Linked DNA regions of Canis lupus familiaris. The protein of the gene in region 2 binds, or shares a complex with, the protein of the main gene of each other region. Links are inferred from orthologs where the notes say so. Each region holds a gene or a part of one and is shown on either strand. Other genes may lie near its edges.

Region 1 (4,105 bases), on a different chromosome or scaffold from region 2:
TACCAGATGGCCAGCAGTTGCCTTGGTATCTGCTTTGATAACATCAAGATTCATCTGTATTTGAATTGCAGGGCCCACACATCTTTCATCAACAATCCTCAGGGTGCCAGGAGTTGAAACTCATGAAACTGTGCTGACATCAGTACACTGCTGCAGATCATATCGCATCAGCTCCAAGTGTCGGCAAAGTAGCAGCAACACTTGACTATAGGCAGACAGTCCAGGACGCTAGCACTTACTCTTCATAGACAGGAAGATTAAACACTAAACCCTTCTTTGTAGGATACCACAGGAGGTAGTGTGTGCAGAGAAGGGGGATGGATTTATTTATTTATTTATTTATTTATTTATTTATTTTATTTTTTTCTGTGGGACGGATTTAACTAGCAACATATGACATGGGTAGATACAGTTATTTGAGAAGGCTTAATCATGATTGGCAAAGTATGAATACTGCAAAGTATTCTTGCAAAATAAGCGGAATTTAATCAAGCCTCTAGATAAACTTCTGACTTACAAGAAATAAGAAAAAAGACATTCAAAAACACCTTTGCTTGAACTTTTTAAAATGACAATGTTACAGGGGAAAAAAAGATAAGGGAGTTGCTCTAGATTAAGGCTAGAGTTACAACACCCATATACAATACATAAACCTTGACAGAATCCTGAATTTTGTTGCAGAAGCTATTAACTTCTTCAGTTGTGATAATGATAACATGTTTTGCAGAACTTTATAATTCTTAGGGAGTACATTTTGGAAATCTTAGAAATGTCTGCTTAACAATAGGTGTCTGTAACCTATTTCCAAATAATTTAATGACAACGAAAAAAGCATGAAAATAAGGATGAAATAAATATGGCAAAACGTGGGGCACCTGAGTGTTTCAGTGGTTGAGCGTCTGCCTTTGGCTCAGGTTGTGATCCTGGGGTTCTGGGATTGAGTCCTGCATCAGGCTCTCCCTCTGCCTCTCTCTAATGTTTATTACATTCTTTTGACTTTTTTTATGCATAATTTTTTTTAATTGAGGGAAGAAATCATGTTGGAAAGACTTCAGAGGGGAAATCTAAGAAAAGGTTGAGTAACAAGAGCAACGCTGCATTTGATCGACTGAAGCTGGCAGTGTCTTAGGCACCCGGCAGACACCAAATATATACAATCTTTTTTAGTAGTATTTACCAAAACAGTATCATGTGCAGGATAAAGATGATAAGACAAAATCATTCCATTCAGATGTAAACACAGCAGTAAAGCTAAAAACATAAGCAGCTGTTATATAAAATAGTGGTTGTCCTAAAAGAAGCATAAAAAGTGCTAGGTAAGCACAGGGGAAATTACTTCCTGCTGGAGACAATCTGGAAACACATCTCCAAGGATGAGTGGGGCATGGAAACAGTCACCAAAGGTTAGTGCTTCAATGATTCATTTTGGAAGAAACAAGAGTAGTTAGTTCCTTTTGGCTAAGGCATGGGTAGTATGGGAAGCAGAAAGGAGAAAAGGCAGGTCTGCACCCTTGTTGGCTGGCTGGGCAAATACAATTTTCCATTTACCTGCAAGTTCTCCCGGTCTTCTCCCCGGCAACTGTAGGCGCCCGACCCGGTATGACCAGGATGACTTACAGTCCTCGACTCAGGCCTACGGAAGAAACTGCACGACAGAACGTGTGAAAAGCACGACGGCATTTCTAAGCACATTCACAAGCCTCACGTTGTCTAGTGAAGCGTGGCCGTGGGGGAGCAGGACCGTATACCTTCGCCCAGAACTGCAGTCATCGCCTTACAGGCGCCCGGAGGAGGGGAAACCAGAGGAACGACACTCGGAGCGTGCAGACGGGAGGCGGGAAAATAAAGACTCGGAGGGGTTGCCGCGGCGGTGGCGGACCCCCCCCCTTCCTTCCTCGGTGGCGACGCAAAACGATTTCCCGGAGCTCCAGCACCCGCCGTCCTCCCAAGGTCGGGGCGGGGGAGGCGGCGCGGTCGGGAGCCCCGGCCCCCGGGAGCCCCGCGCTCTGCCCCGCGCTCTGCCCCGCGGCGCGCGCCCGAGCCCCTCCGGGAACCTCGGGGGGCGGGGGCGGGGGCGGGGGCGGGGGTGGGGCGGCCGCCGCCGGGCCCTCCCGGAAAGAAACCCTCCTCCGGCGGAAGCGGCTGGGAGCTCGGCGCCCCTCCTCGGCTCTCCGTCTCCCGCGGGCCGCCTCGCGGGACAGCGCCGACGCACCGTCACCCCACTCTGCGATCCCCGGGGCGCCGGGGCGGGGGGGCTCTGGCTCTTCCCACCCCTCCGCCATGACCCCATTCAGAAGTGCCAAATGCAGCTTCCGGGCAGGACAGGGACTTTCGGCACCCTGACCTCCTGTCCAGCTGGGTAAGTGACCAGACGTCCCAGCACAATAAGGGGCAGGAAGCCTGCGCCTTCCTCTCCCCCAGCCCGGGCAGGTAGTTCAGAATAGGAATTAAGTTGTCTGACCTGGGATGTCTGGTCACCGTTAGTCCTTTTTCGGGCCTACTTGCAGATTTCTCTCTTCCCAGACGGCTCGACTGTTGCCCAGGGCAACGGCGAGTTTTATTTATTTATTTTTTTTTTTTTGGGCGAAGGGAAAACTACGTCACACTGGAGACGGGAGGCCAGGAAACTCCGTGCCATTATCCGTCATGGCTGCCTTAGCTTCAACAGTAACTTCCGATTGGGAGTCGTCCCTCTACCCTGCTGGAGGCTCCCTCGGTGGCTCGGCCGGCCGGCGGCGCCCAGTGGGCGGGAGAGAGGGCGTAGAGCAGCTGAGGAGAGGAAAAAGGCGGGGCGAGGGAAGCTGGCGCCAGTGCCTCGCTGTGATTGGACAGCGGCGTTGGCGCCAGCGCCCCGCTCTGATTGGGCGGCGTCGGCACGCCTGGCTCCGCCTGCTTTTCTTCGCCAGCGAGTGACTGGCCTGCGCCGGAGGGGTGGGGCGGGGCGGTGGGAGCGAGAGTGTGTGGAGGCGCGGGCGGGGCGGGGCGGGGCGAGTGGGGGAGGGGCGGGCGGGGGGCGGCGGTTGGGCAGCGTCGCTTCTGAGGAGGAGGAGGAAGGAGGGCGAGCGAGGAGGATGGCGGAGTTGGGGCTCCCGACGGTAACGCGGGGCCGCTGAGGCGGGAGGGTGTTTGTCGGTCGGCTCTTCCTGCCTTCTTTCCTGCCCGTCGGGCGGTCCGGCCGGCTGTCGGTAGGGGGAGGCCCCGCGCGCCCTGAGGGGCAGGAGCCGGCGGGGCCGGGCGAGGCCCGAGGGGCTGGGGCCCGGGGAGGCGCCGCCGCCGCCGCCGCCGCCGCCGCCGCTCTCCCGGGTGCGGGCGCGGGCGCGGGCGCGGGCGCGGGGAGGGCTGGGCCCTCGGAGCCGGCGCTCGTGCGGGGCCCGCAGCCCGGCGCCGGCGGTGAGCGGGGCGGCGCTGACAGCGGCCGGGGCCGGGCCTGCGGCGGCGGCGGGCGGCGGGGCGGCGCGCGGGCCGGGGGCGCCCGGAGCACGGCCCTGCCCGCTCCGCCCCCGGGGGCACCTGGCCCGGGCTGCGGGGCGCCCCGTGGGCGTCGCGGAGGCGGGCGAGGCTCGGCGGGGGCCTTGGCGCGGCGCTGGCGGTGCGGGGTCGCGCCTTCCCCCGCCCCTTGCCCGGAGCCCGGAGCCCGTCGCTGTCTCCCCTCGTCGCCTCCCGGGGAAGAGAAGAGCGGCGAGGCGGCTTAGGCTGTGCCGCCCGGAGAGCCTGCCCTCCGGCCCCGGCGGACTTGCCTGGTGCCAGCCTCCTTCCGCGGCAGCTCTTCGGAATAGAGGAAAAGTACTCTACCCCCCCCCCCCCCCCCCGCGCTGGAGCCTCAAGGACCGACGATTTCCCCCCAGCCCCTCAGTATCCATTGTTGTGTACCATCCCCCTCCCCCGCCCCAAGCCTGGGTGGAAGGAGGAGGACTTCAAACCCTTAATTGCCCCCCCTCCCCCGTTTTTCAATCAGCAGAGCTTATGTGTTATTGTGTTAGTATGGATTTACAAACAGGTGGAAGGAATGCCGATTCGGGGAGTTGGAAAGAAGATGCTTTTGTGTGTGTGTGTGTGTGTGTGTGTGTGTGTGTGTGTTTTCAGGCTTTCAGCCCTTAACACTTGG
Region 2 (3,500 bases):
CTTTGATAATGGAACTGACTGGCTTTCCCAGGATGGCGTTCCATGTTTCTTCTCTAGGGACACATACTATCTTATCTTTTTAATATAGGGTCTTGTTTGTTTTAAGTGGAATAGCTATAGCAAGATGTCTCGTTGGTTGTGTCACTTAACAGGATGTTTGGCCACAGAGTGTACTGTTCGTGATAATTAGTCTCTGAACTAAACTTAGATTTCTCCCAGTCACCTTTGTCTCCTACCATGGTAGTCACTTTTCTGGTTCTACCATCCACAACACTTCTTTCTGAATTTTCTTCAACCACATTTTGTGTCTAAAAAGACATAAAATTCCCTTGGCTTGGGGCACCTGGGTAGCTCAGTAGTTACCTTGTGATTTTGGCTGAGGTTGTGATCTCAGGGTTGTGAGATCGAGCCCTGTGTCAGGCTCCCCATTTGAGAGGAGTCTGCTTCAGAGTTTCTCTCTCTCCCTCTGCCCTTCCCCCTTTTCTTTCTCTCCCTGCCCCAAAATAAATAAATCTTAAAAAACAAACAAAAAACCCCTTGATTTGTTAAGTTACAAAAGACTCTTGTCACCAAGAGGCTAAGTTTACAGGGACAAGTAGGAAGGAGCCCATGTAGACTATTGTAAGCTTCTGTGGGGCTGGGTGGGAGCCTGATCCCTGACTTCTGTCTTCTAAAGCAGGCTCTTTGAGATTAGCTCACAGAAATCTAGAGGGTGACATTCTTCCAGGGGCTCGTCAAGGATGTAAGTCAGTAAAATTCCCAAGGGAAAAAGGGGACAGTGAGCATCTGGAACCTCACTGAGAATGGAGACCACTGCTTAGGACCCAGCTCTGGAGATGGTAGCCATGTTTTGGTGAGAGGGTGAGGGGGATGCCACCAGAACCAGCGAAGTTACAGAATTGGTTTGTGGGTGGGAGGCGATCCAAGTGGATATAGGATTACGGCAGAAAGTGAAGGGCAGATACTCAGTGGAATGGAGTAAGCTCCGTTTGGCATCTGGGCTTCCTCTGGCTGGGGCGCTGGCCTCTCTGGCGCTGCTCTCTCCATAGGTAACCAGTGCCCCTCATTCCTTAGAAGCAGGAGACGCTGTTCTTTGCATTTTGGCATTTTCACTGTTGAAACTGCTGATGATCCTACAGACAGAACAGCTCAGCTCAGTGTTGCTTAGATTTTTGTGACAAAGGCAAGTATCTGTGAGGGGTTGGGAAAGCAAAGAATCTATTAAGTCAGCGTTTATTCCCCAAAGCCAATGGTTAATTTTTTCCTCAAGCTGGTATGTGGCTTCCTTCTTTTTTAGTTTGGCTACTTAGTATGGCTTTTTGCTTAATATGGAGAGCAGAGCCTTAGGACCCCTGGGATCCTAAACCACGTAGAAAACTGCGGGCTCGCATTGTCAGTACCGGGAGACCAGAAAAACCACCAACCAACCAACCAACCAACCAAGCTGCGAGCGGGAACTGGCTACAACTGTGTGTTTTAGGCTGACTTGATTTATGGAGCATTGGACGTTAGTTACATCAGTAATCAGGACAGTCACACAGAATATTCCATAGGTGATTCTTAGGACTTAGGCCTTAAGGAACAGTCCTGATAAAGGAGTCTGGATTCTATTTTTTATTTTTTTAAAGATTGATTGATTTATTCATGAGAGACACACACAGAGGGAGAAGCAGGCTCCATGCGGGGAGCCCGATGCAGGACTCGGTCCCCGGACTCCAGGATCAGGCCCTGGGCCAAAGGCAGACGCTCAAACACTGAACCACCCAGGCGTCCCATTTCTTTCTTGCTGAGCAACTCATCCTGTAGCCAGGGCTGAGATGACCTGCTTTTGAAGGAAATTCCCAAATCCCCTGCAGGACTTTTCACAGGGAGTAGGAGGCACACGTGTCTGCCAGGTGCCGCCTGCGGGCACGTCACGGCCAGGTCTTGGCATCTCTCAGTCTCGCTTCCCTCTGAGCACTCCGCATTGACCTCTGTGTTGCAGGTTCTCGCCAGAAAACACGGAACTTCTTACGACTTTGGGACTACTGTACTTACAGGTAAGGAGGGAACCTTGACTCATTCATGCCCCAATGTTAGAAATGGTTTTGGGTTTGTGTGGATTGTGGCTTCCCTGCGATTTGATTGGACTGTAACACAACACATCTTACTCGAGCCTGTGAAGCGCAGGAACCTTCCTCTCCGCATCTGATATTCTCTGTCAGGACTGAATTCCCTGCATTAAATCAGAAGCAAACCAGTCAGTTTGAGGCTACTGCAGCTCTGATTCTTACCCACTTAAGGAAAAAGCATATAGGGATCCCTGGGTGGCGCAGCGGTTTGGCGCCTGCCTTTGGCCCAGGGCGCGGTCCTGGAGACCCGGGATCGAATCCCACATCGGGCTCCCGGTGCATGGAGCCTGCTTCTCCCTCTGCCTGTGTCTCTGCCCCTCTCTCTCTCACTGTGTGCCTATCATAAATAAATAAATAAATAAAAAATTAAAAAAAAAAATTTAAAAAAAAAAAAGGAAAAAGCATATATGAGAAATAACGGGGGTGGGGAGGGACCTTATGTCGTGGTGGGAGAAGCCTTGAGCCCCAGTGGGGCTTTGGGGCAGAGGCGGTTTCTGTTGCTCCTTCTTCCCAGCCAGGTCTCTGTCTGTCTGGAACAAGGAGTCTCCCTCCCCTCCACGTTTTCCTGCATGTGAATGGCATTCTTTTAGTGCCTGCAGTTCAGTTGTACCAGCCTGCGCCCGCCATATCCCTGTGCCCTCCCCACCCTGCCCCTACCGGCTCCTCGGGGTCCCTCCTAGCTGACCCTGCAGCTCTGCCTCCAGGGCGGCCTTTCTGTCTGTTTTGTTTTTCTGGGCCTTCCTGGGCTTTGGCTTGGATGTTGGCCCCAGGGAAATGAGGCTAAGCAGCCCATTTTCTGCCAAGGAGGCATTAGTGTGGAACAGCAGAGCGTGCCAGAGGTGGTTTCTGGCAAACAGATACTTTGACCTTCAGGGGAAATCAACAAACATGGGGATTTTTAGTTTTCTTTTTTTTATCTGGTATCTGTAGCTTTTTTTATCATGACAACTGGAAAGCCCAGGCATTTCAGTTCAGGGTGTGGTTGGCCAGACTCCTTAACTGCTCTCTCTCCACTGATCTAATTCTCTGGTTTGCTTTTTCTCCAAGCTCGGCATTTACCAGAAGGCATTTGAACACCTTGGAAATGCGCTGACTTACGACCCTACCAACTACAAGGTATCATGGGCTGTCAAACCCCAGGGCCTTCAAATAGGTGTTCCTGCTGTTGCCAGAGGTGATCTGGCCCTAGAAAGCATTTTGGATACCCGAGAAATCACCTTTCTCTTAGGAAAAGTATAAATAGACACGGCCCTTAGTGTTAGCGCTCTGCTTATTTTCTACAAGCACATGTTTGCTGTCACAGGCCTGTCACGCAGTGAAGTTGTCGCACTGGTGAAGGTCCGTGTGTTACTCAGGAAGTGAACAAAGCTTCCACAGCTACTGTCCGAG

What was found. The genes of interacting proteins can lie anywhere in the genome.
Region 1: the proteins of BBS4 (region 2) and BBIP1 are in contact, whole or in part, in a cryo-EM structure (PDB 6VBV), measured with the Bos taurus proteins. The link is inferred for Canis lupus familiaris from reciprocal best matches to the Homo sapiens genes BBS4 and BBIP1. Residues at the interface, in NP_001069424.1 of Bos taurus: Leu210, Leu213, Tyr236, Leu240, Ala241, Ser244, Gln247, Thr248, Ser269, Pro271, Asn274, Asn275, Met278, Phe281, Gly282, Lys284, Tyr298, Leu299, Pro301, Leu302, Asp303, Trp304, Lys305, Ile306, Tyr308, Asn309, Leu312, Leu315, Thr316, Gln318; in XP_003587939.1 of Bos taurus: Met7, Phe8, Arg9, Glu10, Val11, Leu12, Pro13, Lys14, Gln15, Gly16, Gln17, Leu18, Tyr19, Val20, Glu21, Asp22, Leu28, Lys30, Pro31.

What each region holds. Positions count from the first base shown.
Region 1 is NC_049249.1:22,464,449-22,468,553, forward strand, and holds the start of BBIP1 (BBSome-interacting protein 1), read right to left. Parts: upstream 2,801-4,105; 5' UTR 2,462-2,800; intron 2,360-2,461; exon of another isoform or gene 2,156-2,359; intron 2,019-2,155; exon of another isoform or gene 1,749-2,018; intron 1,646-1,748; exon of another isoform or gene 1,634-1,645; 5' UTR 1,549-1,633; intron 1-1,548.
Region 2 is NC_049251.1:36,541,619-36,545,118, forward strand, and holds part of BBS4 (Bardet-Biedl syndrome 4 protein), read left to right. Parts: intron 1-1,984; coding exon 1,985-2,039; intron 2,040-3,158; coding exon 3,159-3,227; intron 3,228-3,500.